2 linked regions of the Coturnix japonica genome follow. The protein of the gene in region 1 interacts with the protein of each later gene in a biochemical or structural test. Links are inferred from orthologs where the notes say so. Each region holds a gene or a part of one and is shown on either strand. Other genes may lie near its edges. The genes, in order: NFE2L2 and ENC1.

Region 1 (9,803 bases):
ACTCTTAACAGCATCAGAAACACCAGCCCTGCTGCTGAAACTCAAACAAGGATTATGATAGAATCAAGCGGTCCTTGGGACTGTTAGACACAAGTCTTCTGCCAGTCACACATGCAGTTTTGTTGCATCTCCTGCCTCCTTATGTCCTCCTGCTGCCACTAGTGACACTGCCAGCAGCAAGCTGTTTGCCTGTGAAGCTCCCAGGCTGCTCACAGCCCAGCTGTCTCATCCTACCAACTACCAAACTGCTGCTCCTGTTCTCCTGTAGGCTCCTCCAGGACATGGCTCACTGTACATTGCCATATATTGGGAATACCAGTGCTGTGTTGCAAAGACATACCGTACTTTGAACTGTGGGGATATGATAGATGTTTAGCGTACAACAGGTATGGTTGTTCAGACTCATTTCATTTTTCATGTGTTCATTGGGAAAATAAGTAAACTTCAGCACATTCCGGACGTTTACAGTTGTACTCTGCAAAAACCTTCAAGTAGCAGTGAAGAGAGAATTATAGATGATGTATGAAGAAATTTAGCACCCCAAAAGTAGTGGTTTTGATCCAGAATCAGGTAAATTGATAAAGAGCGTACAAATAATACAAGTAGCTTTTCAGTGAAAGAGATAGCCCCAGACTGCATTAATCAGACAATAAAATGATGGGAAACTCTCCTTCCTCTCCCCCAGCAACCAGAAGTGAGTTTGCACAGGACACAGCAAGGCAAAAGAGCGGTGTAATTTTGAGCTCCATATAAGAATCTGGAAGGGCAGAAGGTTAAGTCATTTTCTTTACAATTTCAGCCTTAAATATTCATTTCCATCCACAGCCCTATCAAAAAGACAAAGATAAATGAGAAAGTTCTGAAAAAAAAACAGGAAAATAATCAGTGGCTGGAGGGCCACATTTGTTCAGAAATACACACATATGTTTAACTTGTCCAGATCTTTAAGGGTGATTAAGGGGAACTCATCATGGATAATTTCTGGAAGAGTATATATTGCAAGTTAAAAAAAAAGTTCACCAGGTCACAGGCTGCCAGAGATCCTTCTGAATAGCCACCAAATCACCCTTATAACAAACCCCAAAACAATGCATAAAAATAAGAGTTGCATTTACACTCTGAGAATCAAGCTTAGTTTTCATTTCCTCAAAAACTCTCTGTCAAAGATTAACCTTCCTATCTTTACCATGTGCTTAAGATAGGGACACACTCACACAGGCAAAGTGCTGAGGATCACAATGACTGCTCAACATTAGTCGCTATCAAAACAGTCTTCATTCATACCCAGATCCATGTGTTACACTGTCCACATAGCACACTAACAGGCAAGATTAGGAATGAGGCTAATGGGTGGGAGGACTGTGTACATAATAGTATGTCTTGGTCAGGACAAAAAGATGCAACTTAAACAAAATTAAAACTATCTGCGCTGTGATTTGAGTTTGTACCTTTCTTTGAAAAAGATGCAGAACATTTTCAGCCTAAGTTTCTGGGATACCCTATGCATTGCTTCTAATTATTTACTCTAGTTGTTCATATTTAGGAATGAAATCCTATCACTTCTCTTATTACCATAGTTCCAGGGAATAAGATCATAATTAATACTTAAAGACTGGGACACAGGAAAATGTTATAGGTATATGGATGCTACTCCAACGATATTATCGGGATAGGATTTCCTTCAAGAAGTGAAGAAAGAGGTACTTCAGGCTGTACATTAACTTCATCTAACTTTTACATGGTAAGAGTTAAGGAAGACAAACTCCAGCCATCATGGCTGAGGACATACCAGCTCCTCCTGCCAACAACCAAGCAGCAATCCATGGTCCATCATACAGCTTTGCAAAGTAAGAAGGGAATGGAGTGTGCACCTTGTATGCTGATTCCAGCATCCTTCGTTTATGTCTTCTTAAAACCTCTCTGTAAAACAGAGGACATTTCCCTATTATTAAGTTAAAAATGAATTATGCTTCAGCATTTTTCTAGTATCATCGGGGTACTCATTTTAAAATAGAAGTCTTTGTTAAAAATCTAACATCAAAACTTCTATGTAGCACAAAGTCCCACATCCTGAGAGTCATTTCTCATTATAGACTCAGTCAAAATAGATGAGTTGATTCAAAGCTTATAAGTTCAGCATTACTGAAATTCACTCAGCAAATGAGGATGTGTTCCCAGCATTTTTCAGATGTTTGGAAGATTAAGTGCCAACTTGTTTTTCTTTGTTGCTCAAACTAGTCAGGTTTTAAAATACATATTCTCAGCAGTAGGTGGCACTATGAAGTCTCTAGCTTCATAATTATTCTAATATGAGATAATATAAAATGTTATGCAGAGACATTAGAAATAACTTCATCAAAATGTTAATAGACCATTAACTAAAAACATGGCCCAATCTCTCCTTTTTCCTATCATTTTAAAAGGAGCATAAAAACACTGGTCTGCCCGAGCTCAAGGTGTGAAGATAAGGAGAAAAGAAATTAAGCAAGGAACACAAATGAAATATATAGTCAACAGTCTTTATCTAGCCTGGCCAGAAAGTGCCCTTTTTCTTTTTTCACCCCAGGCTCCAAGCAAGCTGCTTAGCTTTGCACAGAATTTCTGCACTGTGATACAATCTACACCAATACCTAAGATTCCTGTGTGCTTTTATTTTCCTTCCTATTAAGTAAAGTGTATAGAAAATACACCTTCGTGGCTTCAGGGCAATTTTTCAGGGACTGACATTGTGCATTACTCATTTTGTGCTAATGTGTTCTATCTTCTGCTCGCTATTTCTTCTATAACACAGAAAAGAAAAAAACCATAAGACATCACTAGCATGGGGTCTTGAGCTGGGAGCAGCTCTACTCAAGAGTTTTAAACTGTGACACCAATTTCTGTTGTAGAGTTTTGTCCATTCAAAGTCTTCAGGATACAGCCAAAGTAATGCAAAACACACCAAAACATAGCTTTTGACTCTGGTTTCTCACTGCACATTATTTACTGTTATCTTGTATTACCCCTAAACTGGAACTAAGGATATGGTATTGTAAGAGCTACTTAAAATAGCTCACTCGTTCACACAGGCACTATATGTTCTGCTTGGATCTCCCTCCTTAAGATATTTAGTGGCTCTGTGGATGCAATTTAACTTACAATGTAAGCCAAGTGCTTCCATAGTATCTCATGCAGTTATCAAACAAGCATTTTACAAATCTACTCAGATTGTGTGTTCTTTCTATGGATTTCATACAACTAGAGCAAGCACCTTCTACATTTTTGGGCAGACACCCACTTTCAACAGGTGGATACAAATAAAATTTTATAATTACTCTGGATTTATCAAATTTATATACTTATGCTTTTTGCTAAGCCATGCCCTTGTACCTTGTGAACAGCTTATACTACCACTAGTGTGCAATAGCAAATTGAACACAGCTCAAACAATGTGAATTCTCCATGTATTCCACATGGTTTTGTTGTGATTTTCATCTTTTTTTTTTTGTGCCAGGGGTGGATTCATTGTTTGACCAGATGTAGGCAACACCCAGCAAACACTACATGAAATATACCTGGATGAATAGCCACACTAAAGCACAAGCCAGGGAATATAAGAGTGAAGAGAATCATAGAATGCCTTAGGTTGGAAAATTCCTGCCAAATCACCCAGTTCAAACCCCTGGCCATGGGCTGAGTTGCCAACTACCAGATCAGGGCCCAGAGCCCCATCCAACCTGGCCTTGAACACCTCCAGGGATGGGGCACCAGCACCTCACGGCCCTCTCAGTAAATAATTTCCTCCAAACACCTGACTGAAATCTCTCCTTTTTTAATTTAAAGGCATTCCTATTTTTCTTATCGCTATCAGATAACGTTAAACGTTAGTCCCTCTCATGCCTAAGGGCTCGCTTTAAGTGCAAGAAAGCCACTAGCAATCGAGTTTTCTTCTAAGGCAGCGCCGTGCCAGCAGAACATCTGACCGAGGAGCATTGCCATCCCATAGGACGGGCACTGCCATGACATCTCCCAAAGCATCACGTGAGATTCGGGTCTGTAAGTCAGCCGGCTGAGACACGCACGCCAACTATTTCGACACCCGTAGTATTAACGGGGGTTACAGTGCAAGAAACCACAGGTACCAGGGAATTACAGTACCCTGGGATGAGAGCCTGATGTAATAGGAAAGCACGTGTGGAGGACGCAACCAGAAAGAGCCTGGAAAGGTGCCTTTAGTGTCAATGTAGCAGACTGCCAGTGGCTCGTAGCCGTGTTTCGGGACCGGACTAATAACGTAGAACACGAAAAGAAGGTGAAACCACACACCTGGGGAACGTACCGAGGCACGGACAGAACAGCCGGCCGAGAGCACTGCTGACAGAACAGCCGGCCGAGAGCACTGCTGACAGAACAGCCGGCCGTGAGCAGTGCTGACAGAACAACCGGCCGTGAACAGTGCTGACAGAACAGCCGGCCGAGAGCAGTGCTGACAGAACAACCGGCCGCTCGCGGTGCCCGGCGCCGTGGGAGGGTCGCGTTCCCGGCACCGCCGCCACTGCCGGGAAAGGAGCCGCCTCCGCGGGCACCGCTGAGTGGCTGCGCCGAGTCGGGGCGGAGCGCGGCGGTCGCCGCTGGCTCGGCCCGGGCCGGGCCGGGCCGTCCCCGTCCCCAAACAGCGGCGGAACGAGAGCGCGGGCGGTGCCGGCCGAGCCGCCACAGCTCCACAGCTCCACGCCGCCGTTCCCGAGTCCGCGCCGCCGCCCCGCGCCATGGAGATCGAGCTGCCGCCCGCCGCACAGGTGAGGGCGCCGCGGGCACCGGGCGGGAACCGGGGCTGCGCGCCCCCGGCTCCCCCTCCCTCTTGTCCCGGCCGTTGGGGCGGGGCGGGCCGGGCGGTCACGAGGCCGGCGGGGCACGTGGTGCCGCCCCGCCCCGGGGGCAGCGCTGAGTCACGGCGGGGGCCGGGCCCCGCCCCCTCGGTACTTTCCCCGTCTCCCGGGCGGGGGGTGCTTCCCTGCCCGCTGCGCAGTTCGGGGCCAGGTCAGTCCGTGGCGAGGGGGGAGCTCGGCCCGGCCCGGCCCCGCCCCGAATACTTGTCCGGTTCCTTCTTGAGGGCCTCCCGCTGTCACGCGGCCTCAGTGGGGGCAGTTGCACAACCGCGTGTTGCCCGTGTCGGGTCGTGGGGTGCGGGGCGAGAAGGGCGCGGGGAGGGTGTGATTCTGTGAGGGGCCGTGGGGGCCGCGATGGAAGGGACCCCGCATCACTTCAGCGTCCTCCTCGGTGTGGGCCGGGGCGACTCTTGTGTCTCCTCCTGTGGGGCCACCTGTCCGCGTTGTGCTGCTCGAGCCCCACAGCCGCGGGTTGTGTCAGATCTGTACTGTAAAGGCGCTGTGTCTTTAGGTAGCTAATGGATTATCTTTTATTGGTTAAATGGAATGCTGGATGGGATTCATTTGGGATGTTGTCTATTACTAATGACACAGGTATCAAAACTGCTGAGGAAAAACGCTCTGGAACGTGAGTCAAAGTGTTTCAAGTCAAGTTCACAAAAGCATTATGTACCCATAATTGTTTACTGCTTCAGTAAGCTGAAAGGTGCTGAAATGGCTGGGCCTGGTGCTTCTAGCCTTGTCAGACAACATGACAAACTCATCAGCTCTCACTAAGCACTGAGCCTTGTGAGAAGGTGAGCAAGATTACTTTCTCATGTAGTGTTTGCACTGAACACTAAAAGTGAAGGCCAGTGTAACCATGTACTTGAGTATCTGCTCAGTGCGTGGGTTTTTCTACCTAGAAAAGAGTTTCTAGTTACATTAGAGGTATCTCTTTAGTCTGTAGGGCTTTACACAGGTATCACATGTCTGTTTTTGTGACGTACTACATAAGGTTGTCTAGTGAATGTCTGTTCCATAATGGGCTGTTCTTTCCATACGACACCGATCATGCAGGAAGTGACAAATGAGTGCACCGCTCAGGCCTGACAACAGGCCTTTGATGTGTTTTTTAGCTCAATAACTGTTAAGCATAAGTGTCTGTAGATAGATTAAGATATCTGTATGGATACCTATTTGTCCATCTATATATGTGGATACGTTTCGGTATCAGAAAACATCTATGTTTTTTGTTGGTCTCTCAGAAGGAACTGAAGGCTGAAGGAGCTGGGTGGTTCAGTGTGGAGAAGGGGAGGCTGAGGGGAGGTCTCACTGCTCCGTACAGCCGCCTGAAAGGTGGTTGCAGTGATAAAGGTGCTGGTCTTCTCTATCAGGTGACAAGAGATAGGATGTGAGGAAACTGCCTCAAGTGGCACTGAAGGAGGCTTAGATTGAATATCAAGAGCATGGAAGGGGTGGTTAGGCATTGGAACAAGCTGCTTGGGGAGGCAGTAGAGTTGCCATTGCTGGAGTTATTTAACAGACCTGTGGATGTGGTTTGGCAATGGACTTTGTGATGTTAGGTGAATGGTTGGACTTGGTCTTAGAGCAATCTTAATGATTCCATGACTCCTAAAATTACAGAGAAGAGTGGTGGAAGTAATAAGAATACTACAAGCACTGTCTTAAGTAGAAATGCATTTTTTAGACCCTTTTAATTCTGATGTGCCTACCCTGCTTATCATGCTGCACTGAAAAATCTTTCCTCAGAACTTCAGAATATCTCTCAGTTAAACCAGTGGTAGATACAATGCAGTGCAGTACCTGTGGCTGAAAGAAATGTAGACTAATAAAAGATGACCATGAGAATCCTTTCAATGCAACAGCTAATTGGATATTTTATTATTGTAGTACATATCTATCGTATGGACGCTGTTCTGTATTTTGTATTTAAAATGTGCTGGGAATTTACATTGCATGAGAAGTTGTTTGAAATACAAGGAGTTGGTTGCATTTGAAAATGGGACTTGAAGAAGCTTGCGGTTAGAACTCAAAGTAGGAGAGCACTTTGGCTTTGGAAGTTGGGGTTTTTGTTTTTGGTTGTTTTTTTGTTTGTTTGGTTTTTTTTTTTTTTTTGGAAAAATATGTGGAAGAGACCAAACTGGGACAAAATAGAACATTCAGTATAAGCAGAGAGCAGCTGGATCATCTCGTGCTTTAAAGAACTTGAGACATTTTTATAGGAGTGTGTGGGTGGTTGGGAAGCTTTGTGTATGTTTCCCACCAGAGTTCATGAGCTAGAATAAAATTTGGCTCTCTGTCCATTACTTTTTTCTTTCTTAAACCGAAAAAAGCAAAGAGAGTATAGCACTTATCCTAAATGACAATACAGAAGGTTATGTATCACCATGACAGCCAAGATCACTGTTAAAATTATCAGATTATTATTAGCTATTCTTGCCCCTGAATACTTCAGTTCTTATAGGTTTTTTCCTCTTTGTCTTGAATTTGCAGAGCGAAATGCTGTGTGCTCCTTTCATGATCCTGGCTGAAATTAATATAGCAATGGCACGTTGAGCATTCTTTAATATTGAAGAAGTCTCTGATACTTCTGTTTAGTATGCTGGAGTTCATGAGATCACCAGAAGTGGAAGGGGCTAAATAAGTTATCTGTTCTTCCATTTCCCCTGTCAAGTCTTTCATATATTTTTTCCTTTTGGTAGTTGCCGAATTTTGTTAGATCTGGTCCTCCAGAAGAAACAACAAACCCCAAAACAGCAAAACCTGCCACAGTTTGTTGCTGGAAAATGTTTAGAATCCATTGAGTTTTTCTAAAGGAGAATGAAAAAGCATTGACTGCATGTCCAGGAAAAGGTCAGTTTACATGAGGCAGAAGGAAAGAATTTCTATCTTTTATAGACTTTCTATACAAAGTCCAGATGAGAAGAGTAGATGACACCAGCTGAGCCCATGCTTTTAAAGCCAGGTGTGTCCTTCATTGAAAAGAAGGAACTTTTTTATTTTCTATCTAGAACATTGCTTATTTCTTTTTTCTAGGAAATTAATAAAGATAAGCTGTAAGATGACTAAACCATTCATGAAAATTAGGCTAATTTGTGAGAGTGTGATGTATTTGCAGTAATTGTGCTGGCTGAGGTTAGTGCAGAACAAGTCCAGGCAGGAACCTGTTGGCATGAATTAAATATTAATCCTCTGCTACTGTGTTTGAATTCCAGCCAGGCAAAAAGCCCTCCAGAGTCCCCAGGTTAATCACCTAGTTAAAGTTTGTTTTGGCTTCCGTCTCATTCCAACCCTAAGTAATCCATTATTCTAATAAAATACATTCCTAGTGAACTTAAAGCAGTTTCAGGTGTGTTCAGTTTTCTGCTACGGGGCATTATATCCAAGCAGGACTTTGTGCCACAGAATTCGATCTCAGGTGAAAGGAAGAGAATACAACGCAGGGGTCAGCTAAATTCTTTTCTGTGCTAATCTAGTTTAACTGGTTTGGGGAACAATTCATCTGCCATTACGCAAGTCTTTTTACATAAACCAATGAAAAGTCTGGTAGGAGTAGTTGGAAGTCATGACTTTAAGGCTGTTTTATCCAAAGATGACTGATATACAGCAGTAAACTGAAATTCGTTCTGGGTTGCTCAACAGTAATGGCTTTATGGTGTATTTGTTTGTTAAGGTAAACTATTAAAGCATCCATTAAGAAATGAAGCCAGCAAAATTATCAGTAGTGTATAAAACTGCTAAAACACGAAAGCTTTATTTGAAATAGATGCAGGTGAGCCATAGGATCATGGAATGGTTTGGGTAAGAAGGGAAAATTTCAGTTCATCCAATTCCAGCCTGATTCCAGAGGCAGGGACACCTCCCACCAGCCCAGGCTGCCCAAAGCTCCATCCCTCTCAGCCTTGAGCACTGCCAGGAATGGGACATCCACAGCTCCCCTGGGTGTGTAATTCAAGTAAAGATAGTAAAGTCTCTCAGAACCAGAATTGGCACTGTTAATTGAAATAAGCATTAATTTGGTTATCTGAGAAATGTGTAAGGCGTGGTAAGGGTAAAAAATATATATATTTAATTATTTGAATCCTTTGGAAAAGAGGATTTCTCTTCATTTTGTGGAGCCTCTTCTATTTCCCATCTTCAGCCTTTTTTGGTAAAATACTTGCTCAGTTCTCTCTGGCCAATGCTGACTTTTGTATGGACGTGCTACGTGTCTGTACATGGATTTTGTGTCTGACCGCTAATTTCTACTGTAATGTTCACTTTTAAAGGGTTAATTCAAGTATTTTGATGCACTGATCATGGAGATGTTGGAAAGCTTATAAGGGTTAATAACTGCGTTAATAACTCATAGTATATGGTATAGTTAGTGTTTTTTGTCAGCTCTATTGGTAATCCCCAGAGCAAGTACTGGTTGGCAACGCTGTAGTAAAATGGGTTTAACTTTAAAAAAACAAAAGACTCTTTTCTCTCCCCCCTTCAAAAAAAACCAAACCTTAAATGGGTACGTTTTATATATCTGGTTGAAGTTTTACATTAGCTCGGTTCGGATTTCTGACTTTGACCTGATTACCTGCAGCTTTGATACTGAGGAGAAGGATTATAAAATAATGTTTATTTTTAGTTCAGGAATTGTAAAAGCACTGTGACTGTAAATGCTTCTCATCTTTCCAGTTAAAGTAGTTTCAAGGACTATTTTTTTGTTGTTGTTGCTGTTACTTTACTGAGATAGTTGAGACCTCCCACCCTTATAATTGTCCTGTGCAGTATTAAGACTTTTAATGTAAGTTCTGTGGTATTATTATGAGCAATGAAATTAACAGAGGAGAAAAAGAGAAGAAACTTCTTTTAAGTTTGGTGTTGCAGCAACAAGTTATGTAAGATCAGTTTGAGACGGGCACTTTCAAACCTTTTAAGGAAGTATCTTTTGTATGG
Region 2 (9,803 bases), on another chromosome or scaffold:
ACAGATAAGTGTTTGTTGCTTCCAAGCTCAAGTGTTTTGAGTTGAACCCTCAGTGCGAAGGAACTGGCCCTGCAGAAGTGGGCGATGTGAAGAATACACAAGTCCTTAGGCCAAGTTCCTGCTAGAGCGTGGAGGCTTTTCAGTGCAGACTGGAATAACCTGAAATGGGAAGCCAGCTCAGCTGTCACCACTGGGGGCCACTGCTACGTAGCAAGAGAGAAGCAAAGGGAAACTGCTGCAAGGGCGAGACTGGAGGCAGCTCCTGAAAAGAAGCAAGGAGCTGCCTCTGTGCGGAGTTCAGGGCAGGGAACTGAAATCTCCTGAACATCCGACGCTAAGACTTTTGCTGAATGTCACCTTGAATGTCACTGACCCCTCTTTGCAGTGGTATTTCCAGCGCTGCGCTGGACCGTGTATCTCTGGGAACTGGCTCAAAAAACATGGGGAAGCCTTGCTAATCAAACTTGATCAAAAGCATGTCATCAACACTACTGTTTTCACCAGCAAGGAACAATTTTTCTTACTAAGAGAGTGACCAAGTAGGCAATACAGAGTCAGCAAAAAAATAAAAAGCAAGGTAGCAGAGACTGTTTATGGGTAACTAAAGGGCAAGAAGTGCTGGAAAATGGTACAACGGACACACAGGGATTATAAACAAAGCAGAAGACTTTTCCTCATAGTCTGAGACATTTTATCTCAATATTATTATTATTTTTAATTAGCACATAGTGCTGGAACAGTGAGAATTCTGGACTAGATGCAACAGTAAGGCTTTTCCAAGGGATTCTCCTGAGGATTAAGAAACCATTGGTGAAAATTTTTCTCATTCCAAACATTACACACATCTGTAATGTTATTTTAAAGCCACATTAGCCCCTTGATTAATGAAAATCTTTTGTGCAGAACAAACTCAGCTTTACGTAGAAACCAAGGCCTATCATTTCCTTTCTCTTGCATACTGTGTGATGTTATAGCTCACTGACTTCAGATGTGCCGGTGTTCATATACTTTGCAAGATGTGAGGGACTCAACAGTCATTTGTCATAGCAAGACAGAACAAATGTTTCAGAAGGTAGCAGTTCTGTGCCACTTACCCAAAGATTTGCCCCTTAGCACTGCTGCTGGTTTCCAGGGTGCACTGGATGTGATCTGCCATGCCATGCAAGAATGACATCTAAGGGCGATTCTGGCTGAATGTAATCCTTTAGAAAAATTAACACTTGCAGAGGTGAGGAGAGCAAGGCAAAGAAGGACTTACACCCACCCAAAAAAAAAGAATGGAAAAGCTGGTGTAATTGTTGCTAAGAACTGTTCAGTGTTGACCTCCTGTCAGTAGCTTCAGACAGCCCTGGTGCACATTAGGTCACACTGGGCTGTATTGACTGAACCTCTGTTTTCAGGCCCATCTGGAGAAGCTCATCAAAGAGAAATGATAAGGAAAGCAGGTGTGGGTCACTGAGGGGTGCTCCTGGCCTCATCCTCTGGAGAGATTGCTGGCACTGGTACTGCTATTGTACAGTGTTAATTAGATCATCCTAATTAATTCATTCGAAGTGTAAATTAAGAAGGAATGAAGATAAATTACACTAATACATTTAACCCCATGCTGTTTATTTAGCAGTGGAACAAAATAATGTGGTTAAAAGAGTCTAACAAGGCAAATGCCCAAGACACAGCTGTTTAATAGCATTAAAAATGAGATCTCAGCCTGTGCTGCGGGCACATACAGCTGATTTGCATTTAAAAGGGTTGCCAAGATAGCTGTACTGGCAAACCCTACTAATGTAGATGCAAGTGATACCAACAAAACAACACAAAATAAATAAACAACCAAAAAAAGTATTTCAATCTCTTGATTGTGGTAATCTGGACTGGCAAATGGATTATTTTGCTAGAACAGTTCTGTCTGTGTTAGAGCTCCTGCTGGTGTGGCTGGGGTAGTCTGGAGGGTGTTTCAGCTGCAGAGCCATGCCTGCAAAACTCTAAAGAGTCAAAAAGGCCATGTTATAATGTTTGCCATACATTCAGTGATCCAAGGACTTGTCTCAACACAGAAGCCAAACCAATTTAAATGATGCTGGGAGTTTAAATTCATGTAGTTATACCAGGAGTGCTTTTAAACATAGCAAGTTGGATTTGAGTTGAACAAAGAAGTTTTTGCTACCCCAATTGCACTGCAGTTAAATGTGGCACTTAGAGATCCAGAGGTGAAAATATACAGGGGTTTTGAATGCCTTCCATTTTCAAAGGCCGCACTTCCATTCCACATAGTTATCATTAAAGCTTATAATTAAAAAGAAAAAAATATATATATAAGCCCTGAGAGATTATCATTTTCACATGACTCCAGAAGCTGGGGCTTTGAGAAAAATGCTGATTATCTTGTGATTTGTGATAAAATCGTGATATTTAGCAATATTTCAAAGATCCTATCTATCCTGGTATATGAGTGCTAGGAGAAACATGTCCAAACTAGTTCAGTGGGCATGTTAAGCTATGTCCTGGGATAGGCTAGGCTAACTTTGTTTTCAGCAGTGTCAAAATACAGATTGGCCCATTTACAAAACTGGCTTAACCGGAACTGTGTTTAAATGTGACCTGGCTTAGACCAATGTAAACTGGGCCAAAGATTTGCTTTGGACCAGGTTAATTTGTTGAGTGTTTATCCCATGCTAACTAGGCAAGCACTTCAGTTATGAATGTGTTCTGAGCTGCATTTACAACCAGAGCTACCTGGTCCTAACACCTGTTCAGGAGGGACTAGAGGTGGTATGGATGCTCTTTGTCTCCTGAGCATGAAAAGTAGTTCCCATAAAGACATGCAAGAGATCCACTGCTGTGGTTTGTAGAGCTTCCAGTTGTGGAACTGACAGAAGACTACTGAGTTCATCTTTTCCTTCTCTCTCTTCTCCCACCAGTAGCACTGTTTCACACAGTGCATGTATGCTGCTACATGCACACAGAAGGGGCTGTCTGGCTCTATGGCTGTTTCTCCAACAGGAAACATGTTGCTTCATCCAATTATTCTGCCCTCATTAACCCCAGCAGATTCCTTGTTTTATGGAGGTCGCTCAGAGGATTACTGTCTCATTTCAGTCACCCAGAGCACTGCCCAAATATGCATGCCATAAGCAGCTGCATAAGCCTTACATATTGTCCTCTCTACAGAGTTTATTTTCCCCCCACCATTCTTCATCACTAGGAGCAAAAACAAACTCACATAAAAGGTGTGGCTGCTGAACTACAGCCTATCTAATACTGCCATCCCATTTCTGTTTTTCACTCCTGGTGATTGTTTTGCCTGTGTGGAGGGAGGAGAACAAACCTGACACTGTATGAAATTATGTGAACCCATGTTTTTAGTTGTAAGGGATGACAACACTAGACTGTGCAGAATGCACCATAATGGAATTTGTTCTACTAGGGCAGGATTTGGCTGGAATCTCTGACAGTTTTGTTGAAGGAAAAATGGGAGAAAGCAGGATCAGATCTTGTGGAACATGATAGGACAAAAGAAAAAACCCAGATTCATAACATGACAGCCCATGGTGCTAGAAACATCAGCCATGAATCCAGAATCCACTAGTGTTTCTTGACTGAAATGAGCACTAGATCAGGCTCTCGTGTCCATGAATACCCACTGTATAAGGTGATCCGCAGTTTCCAAGAGCTTCTCACACCTAGGCAGCATTGAAATACACTTTATTACATATAGATATGCAATATTTTTAATCTTGCAATCTACAGAATTTCATGTCATAATCAAACTATTGTAAACATACATACAAATGAAAGAGATTACTCTTTCACCTGCTCTTTGTCTAACTGAAATCACTGTGCTTTGCTGTTATCCCCAGGTTCTCCAGAGCTTCAGATGTGTCCTGCTGTACACTGAGCTCATGTTTATCTGCAGCGTTGGAGTGCAGCAACAGGAACACAAGTAACCATACGCATGTTAGTGAATTGCTTACAGGGGTGGGTTTTTTTTCTGACAGAAGAAACGGTGATGTTTCCTTATGAGGAACAAATGAACTGTGCAAACTGTTACATGCAGCTGTGAGCTGGTGGGGGTAAACTAATTGTTCATATCTTTCTTGAAGCATCTTTAGACTAACGCCATCGCTGCAAGTAGCAAAGAGTAAATCAGCAGCACAACGCCATTATGTAAACACTGCTGTTGTGTCTGTGTTTATTTTTCACATCAGCCTTTTGCACATGTGTGTTTTTCTCATACTTCGTTAACTAGTAAGTAACTAAAGCCGGGCGCAGTTTGGTGCAGCACCCCCCGCATTATCCGCGGGGCAGAGCCAGCAGCTGGTTACCTGCAGCTGGATACCGGCAGCTGGTTACCTGCAGCTGGACACCGGCAGCTGGACACCGGCAGCTGGATGCCGGCTTCTGCCCGCACCCGTGCGGCTATTCCTGTTCCCGCACAGCGGAGCGCGGCCACACGCTCAGCCCTAGAGGAGCGGCGCCGGGACACGCTGCACCTTCCCCGGAACGCGAACTCCTCTGACAGCAACGCTGCGCGGCGCAGCCCGCCGCCTGCCCGCCCCCTCCCCGTCCCTCCCCCGGGTGTCACCCATCCGCTTTGCATAGCCTCCCCGCCCCCAGCGCATATACCCCATCCCCGCGCCGCCGACGGGGCAGAGCTGCGGCCCGGCGGTGCCAGCAGCAGCTGATCTTTCTCTCGTCCTTCTCTCCTCCTTCCCCACCGCGGCCCGCCTCCTGCTGCCGGCACCACCTCCGTCGGCCGCCTCTCCGCACGGTCGCCTCTCCCCTCCCATGCTTGGAGGCCGAGGGACGCCCGCTCGGCAGCAGCCGCTGTAAGTCGGTGCCCTGCAAGCCGCGCCATGAGGGAGGTGGGAGATGGGAGGTGGGAGGGCAGCCGGGGTGCGTGCAGCCGGGCTGGGACGGGGAGGCTCTGCGCCCGCTGCGCCGCATCCGCTCTCGGCACCGCTCCGTCCCTTCCTCCTGTCCGCAGCGGGGAAGCGGTTGGTTGCCGGCACTGGGATCGGGTGCCTCCGGTATCGGCGGTCCTGCGGAGCGCCGGGTGCTGCTGCGGGGCTGCCGGGCTGCCTCGCCGGGCCGGGGCATCCATCGGCTGTGGCAGGAGCGGAGGAAGGACCGGCGCCGCGTTGCTGCCGGAGCTGGCAGCGGGGCTGCTCTGGAGCAGAAACTTTTCCACGTGGTTGTTGCTCTGTAAAGAAAAACAGATGCGCTTTGACTTCTCGCACTGTTTCTGCATCAGTTTGGGAAGAAAACCGTGAATTTTTATTTCAGAGTGGGGGGTTGTTAAGGCACACCGCGATGGAGTGAACTATAGGGAATTTAGAGCTGGGTTTCTTTGTCTGCGTGTGGTGAGCAGCGTTGCATTCCTCGCAGGAGCAGCGTGCTCTGCTTTCCATCTTACTGCAGGTCCTGGGGAGCCGCTAAGCTTGTGCTAGAGGAGTTCAGGCAGGATCAGGACTCGGCTCAGCGAGACCGACAGTATCGCCGCGGGGTTAGCAACTGAAAGCAGTATCAGTCAGATCAATGGGATGTGTGTCAGATTTCCTTTTCCCCAGCAGTTTCACTGATTCTGCGCTAAAGCTTCACCAGCCCCAAGTAATTACAGACCCGTATGAAAACGAGTCTATCATCTTGGCTGTGCTGGTAATTTGAAAATACTTAATTCTTCATTTGATTTTTAGGCTGTGACCTGCACGCTGCAGAGCTGCAAAGAAGTAGGGCAGGGAGTCTGTTGTTCAGTTTTAAAGTCGTGTTTACTACAGGGCTGCTGTGACGAGCAGCCTGTTGAAGTGTAATTATAAATCAAAGTCTTGGTTGAACCTCTGTTCCTAGATAAAATCTATATCTGTAATTTACTGACCGCTTCTTGTTTTTTACATACTAATACTATTATTTCTAAGGAAAAGCCGCCTGAAGGGAGTTGACTCATTTTATTCAAGATGAACATTTGCTCACTGACTGTAAATTACCTCCGCTGAAGTATTTGAGGCTTGCATAATTTCCAGCACCAAACGGAGAAATCAGAGATGTCATTTATACCATTTAACATTCTTGTATGATTCTGGATGGAGCTAATTGTCAGGAGCTGCAAAAAGATGCATTCACAGAAACACTGCTCGTTAGTGAATTATGATAATTGCTCTTAAGGGTTCATCCATGTGTGAGCTCATCTCAGCAAGCACGGAGGAGGAAAAGATACGTGTAGATATAAATCTTTGTTCTGTTTGGGGAAGTATGTTAACTTATCTTAAATGTGAACTGGCATACCTTGAATTCTTCTCAGTGGATGGCATTGTGATGATAGAGTGTTACCCGAACAGTTAAAGACCACTGCAAGTGCTCCATAAGAAATGGCTTTACTCACTGAGGGACCAAGTCTTCACCTTTAGTGGGGTGAAATGTGACTGCCTTACTGTAGCTGCATTTCTTATTTATTTATTTTTTTTAACAGCAGTGCTTCTTACTGGGGCTGTGGGTGGGCTTGGGCAGCATGCAGCAATCTGTTCCTCCCTTCCACAAGCGCTTTTAGCTCAGTACCCTCCAATGTCTGTGTAGTTGCCAGGTGAGTTTTTTTAGGTCTGTGTTTATTTTGTTGTGGTTGTGGTCTCATTCCAAGTGATCTTTGCTAGTGGTTCTTAGCGGACTGTAGGTGCTGAATGTTTGCAGCCTCTGATGTGAACTTTACCTGCCCTAATACTGAACCCTAAGTGCATAGTGAGAGGATTTCTGCATTGTATTTCCGGACGTACTGTGGAGATCTTGGCATGCCAGAGCTGTTTGTCTGCACCTTCCTTTGGCTGGGACAGGGAGCAGGGGGCATTGAACACCATCGTTGCATACTGGTGGCTCACAGTGAGTGTTCAGCTCCCATCCCACAGCCTGGCAAAGGAGGCCTTGCAGGTTTATTTCCTCAGTGTGAGGAAAGCTGAGCTGTAGAGATCCAGCCAGTGCTGTGTACTGCATTGTGATGGCATTTAAAAAGGTAAGATGCTTGGAAAAGTTATAAAAGCTTTTAGGGGATTCTTTGTTGGTGAATGGCTCTTCCCACCTGTCTCCCCACTGTTTGTGTATATATACTCTAAGCCATGACCCTTTCTGTAATCCTTCATTTCCAGCAGGTTTCAGCCTGAGAGTGTATGTGGTCAGTATAATCTTTTTGGTTGTAAATTAAGTTGGTAATTTTAGCCTGAGATTAGTGTTGAAGATCCTTGAATAGCATCAAAGTCAGACACCATTCTCCTTGCTAGCTAATAGAATTGTTTTAAAGGTAATTTCATTTTATCCTATGAAATAATTTGCATTGAGGAGATGTACCAGCCTCCTGAAGCTGCTCTGTATCTTGGTGCTTGGTATCAATTCATTCTGTAGGCTGGTGACAGGACCAGAGTTTTAAAACACCTTTCCAAACTTTTGTGTGTCAGGTACTCGGGTTGTGGCTCTGATGGGAAAGGATTCCTATGAGCTTTGAAGGATTTTGGACTGAGCACTCTACACTGAACTTTATTGCTTGCTCTTTTCAATCCCAGTTGAAAGGTACCAGGGAAGTCATTTTCCATATTAAAGAAAGTGGGTTATGGTAGTTTTGCACTAAGGTGCCTCTTTGTTTATTAATTCATGTTGGTTTGAAGGTGGGTTTGATTTATTATTAATTTTTCTTCCTCCCCTGCAACTGAAGTGAAAGGTGTGTCACAAACTTTTTGTTATATGTGACAAATTGATTGTTCTGCATGTTATTTAAGCAATGCAGAATAGTACTGGTTGTGCTGCACATGTGGCAGAGTGTGTATATCCTCCATTATGCATAAATAGGAAATTCTGAAGTCTGTTGTCCAAGTGAATCATGTATGGTTTTGATTTTGTTGAGGGTTCTGAACCTAGAAAAACAAGTGCATTCATTAAAGATTTTGTTTTTGGTTGTTTGTTTTTTTGAGGCTCTTGTGTCAGCTTGAAGCATGAAATGTGGGAATAGAGTTGTATGGTTGTGTACTGCTTAAACATGCTCAGGAATATGAAAATGTGCAAGTCTGTGAGAGAGGGAAGTACATCCACATGAAAAACCTCTGCAGGTGGCCCCAGGTCATGCTCTGACTTTGAGCACTAGGAGATTCCCAGGTAGGCTCTTGCCCTGATCCTTATTTGAAGGTGCAGTGAATGGGACTCTGCTTAAGAGAGTATCATAGCAATTAGGGAAGCCTGGTTCTCTTCTTTCTTCAAGCTTCCTCTGCAGTTTGGAGTGAGAAGAGAGGTTATAACAAGTAGCAGTCACAGCCATAGTCTGCAATGGGCTCTGTATGCTTCACCTATTCATTGCAATGTGTTTTTTCAGCCATTAGCTCTATATAACTCCCAGTATTCTACTCTTCCTGTGTACTCTGTGCTGTTTGGGCACAACTCTTAGTGAAATCTGGAATCTTACTCCAGTAATCATATGTAACCCTGCATATCATGGCAGATAACAGGAACATTCACCTGATAAGGACTGAGAAGCACTGTGCTTGTCAGGAATAGAACTGTATAGGATATATTCTTTTCATCTCAAAAGCAGCCAGTAGCAGTCGATGGCTTGTGCTCTGAGTACCTGGCTCTTGAAGTAGCCACAGTATGGTGATGCCTTGATGACTTCATCTGGCAGTGAAAACATCTTTCTGCTGACTCTGCCTGTTGTGTGTGCTGTATCACTGCAGCAGGCGGCCACTGGCAGAGTTCAAGATGTAATCTCTGAAATCCAATTGTAATATTATTATTATTTTTTTTTTTTTAAAGATTTTGCAAGTCTAAACTTATGATCCTTGTTAAGTTTTCCTTTTAAGGTTCCCCTTTTCATTCTCCGCTGTTGCATATGGAATTGTTGTAACAAAGCAAAGCTTCCTAATGGGATTAGTAGTTTTTTTGTTCATCATGCCGCTTTTGACATTCCTTAGGTATTCTGTCTGGTAGCTCTTCCTGCTATGATTCAGTACAGGAGAATGTTTCAAGCATGTGCATATGTACATATGTAATGAATCAGCTGGTCTAGATTGGGGAAGGGTGAGAAAATCAGCCCTGGTTCCTTTTCTTTCTCCTCTGACTTACTTGCTTACTGTAATGCTGTGGAAGTTGGAGATCAGGTTTCCCAAGACAAACCTGCTCTTGGGCAACAAATTTAGAGTATGTCATTTATGAAACTCATCTTGCAAAAAATAAACACATGCCAGAGGTACATGCAATTCTCTGTCCAGTCATCTACAAATTAAGCCTTTTTTTTTTTTTTTCCTCCCCCCATCTTATAGTGAATAAGATACACTTCTTGTAATGTAAAAAGAAAATGAATTAAACTCTCATTAATGTCATTAATATATATATTTTTTTTCTTTGTTTGTAGGTGTGGAAGAAGATGTCAGTCAGCATGCATGAAAATCGCAAATCTAGGGCCAGTACTGGCTCCATAAACATATACTTATTCCACAAGTCATCGTATGCTGATAGTGTTCTGACTCACCTGAACCTTCTGCGTCAGCAGCGTCTCTTTACAGACGTTCTTCTCCATGCTGGGAACAGGTCGTTCCCCTGCCACAGAGCTGTCCTGGCTGCCTGCAGCCGCTACTTTGAAGCAATGTTCAGTGGAGGACTGAAAGAGAGCCAGGACAGTGAAGTCAACTTCCATAACTCCATCCACCCAGAGGTCTTGGAGCTGCTTCTGGACTATGCGTATTCCTCCAGGGTTATCATCAATGAGGAGAACGCAGAATCGCTGCTCGAAGCTGGTGACATGCTGGAGTTCCAGGACATCAGGGATGCTTGTGCAGAGTTTC

What was found.
Region 2: the proteins of NFE2L2 (region 1) and ENC1 form a complex in vitro, tested with the Homo sapiens proteins (2 studies listed by BioGRID). The link is inferred for Coturnix japonica from reciprocal best matches to the Homo sapiens genes NFE2L2 and ENC1.

Annotation. Positions count from the first base shown.
Region 1 is NC_029522.1:14,049,633-14,059,435, forward strand, and holds the start of NFE2L2 (nuclear factor erythroid 2-related factor 2), read left to right. Parts: upstream 1-4,603; 5' UTR 4,604-4,748; coding exon 4,749-4,778; intron 4,779-4,901; exon of another isoform or gene 4,902-5,019; intron 5,020-9,803.
Region 2 is NC_029547.1:22,165,186-22,174,988, forward strand, and holds the start of ENC1 (ectoderm-neural cortex protein 1), read left to right. Parts: upstream 1-4,624; 5' UTR 4,625-4,826; intron 4,827-9,373; 5' UTR 9,374-9,385; coding exon 9,386-9,803. UniProt on the Homo sapiens protein: Actin-binding protein involved in the regulation of neuronal process formation and in differentiation of neural crest cells.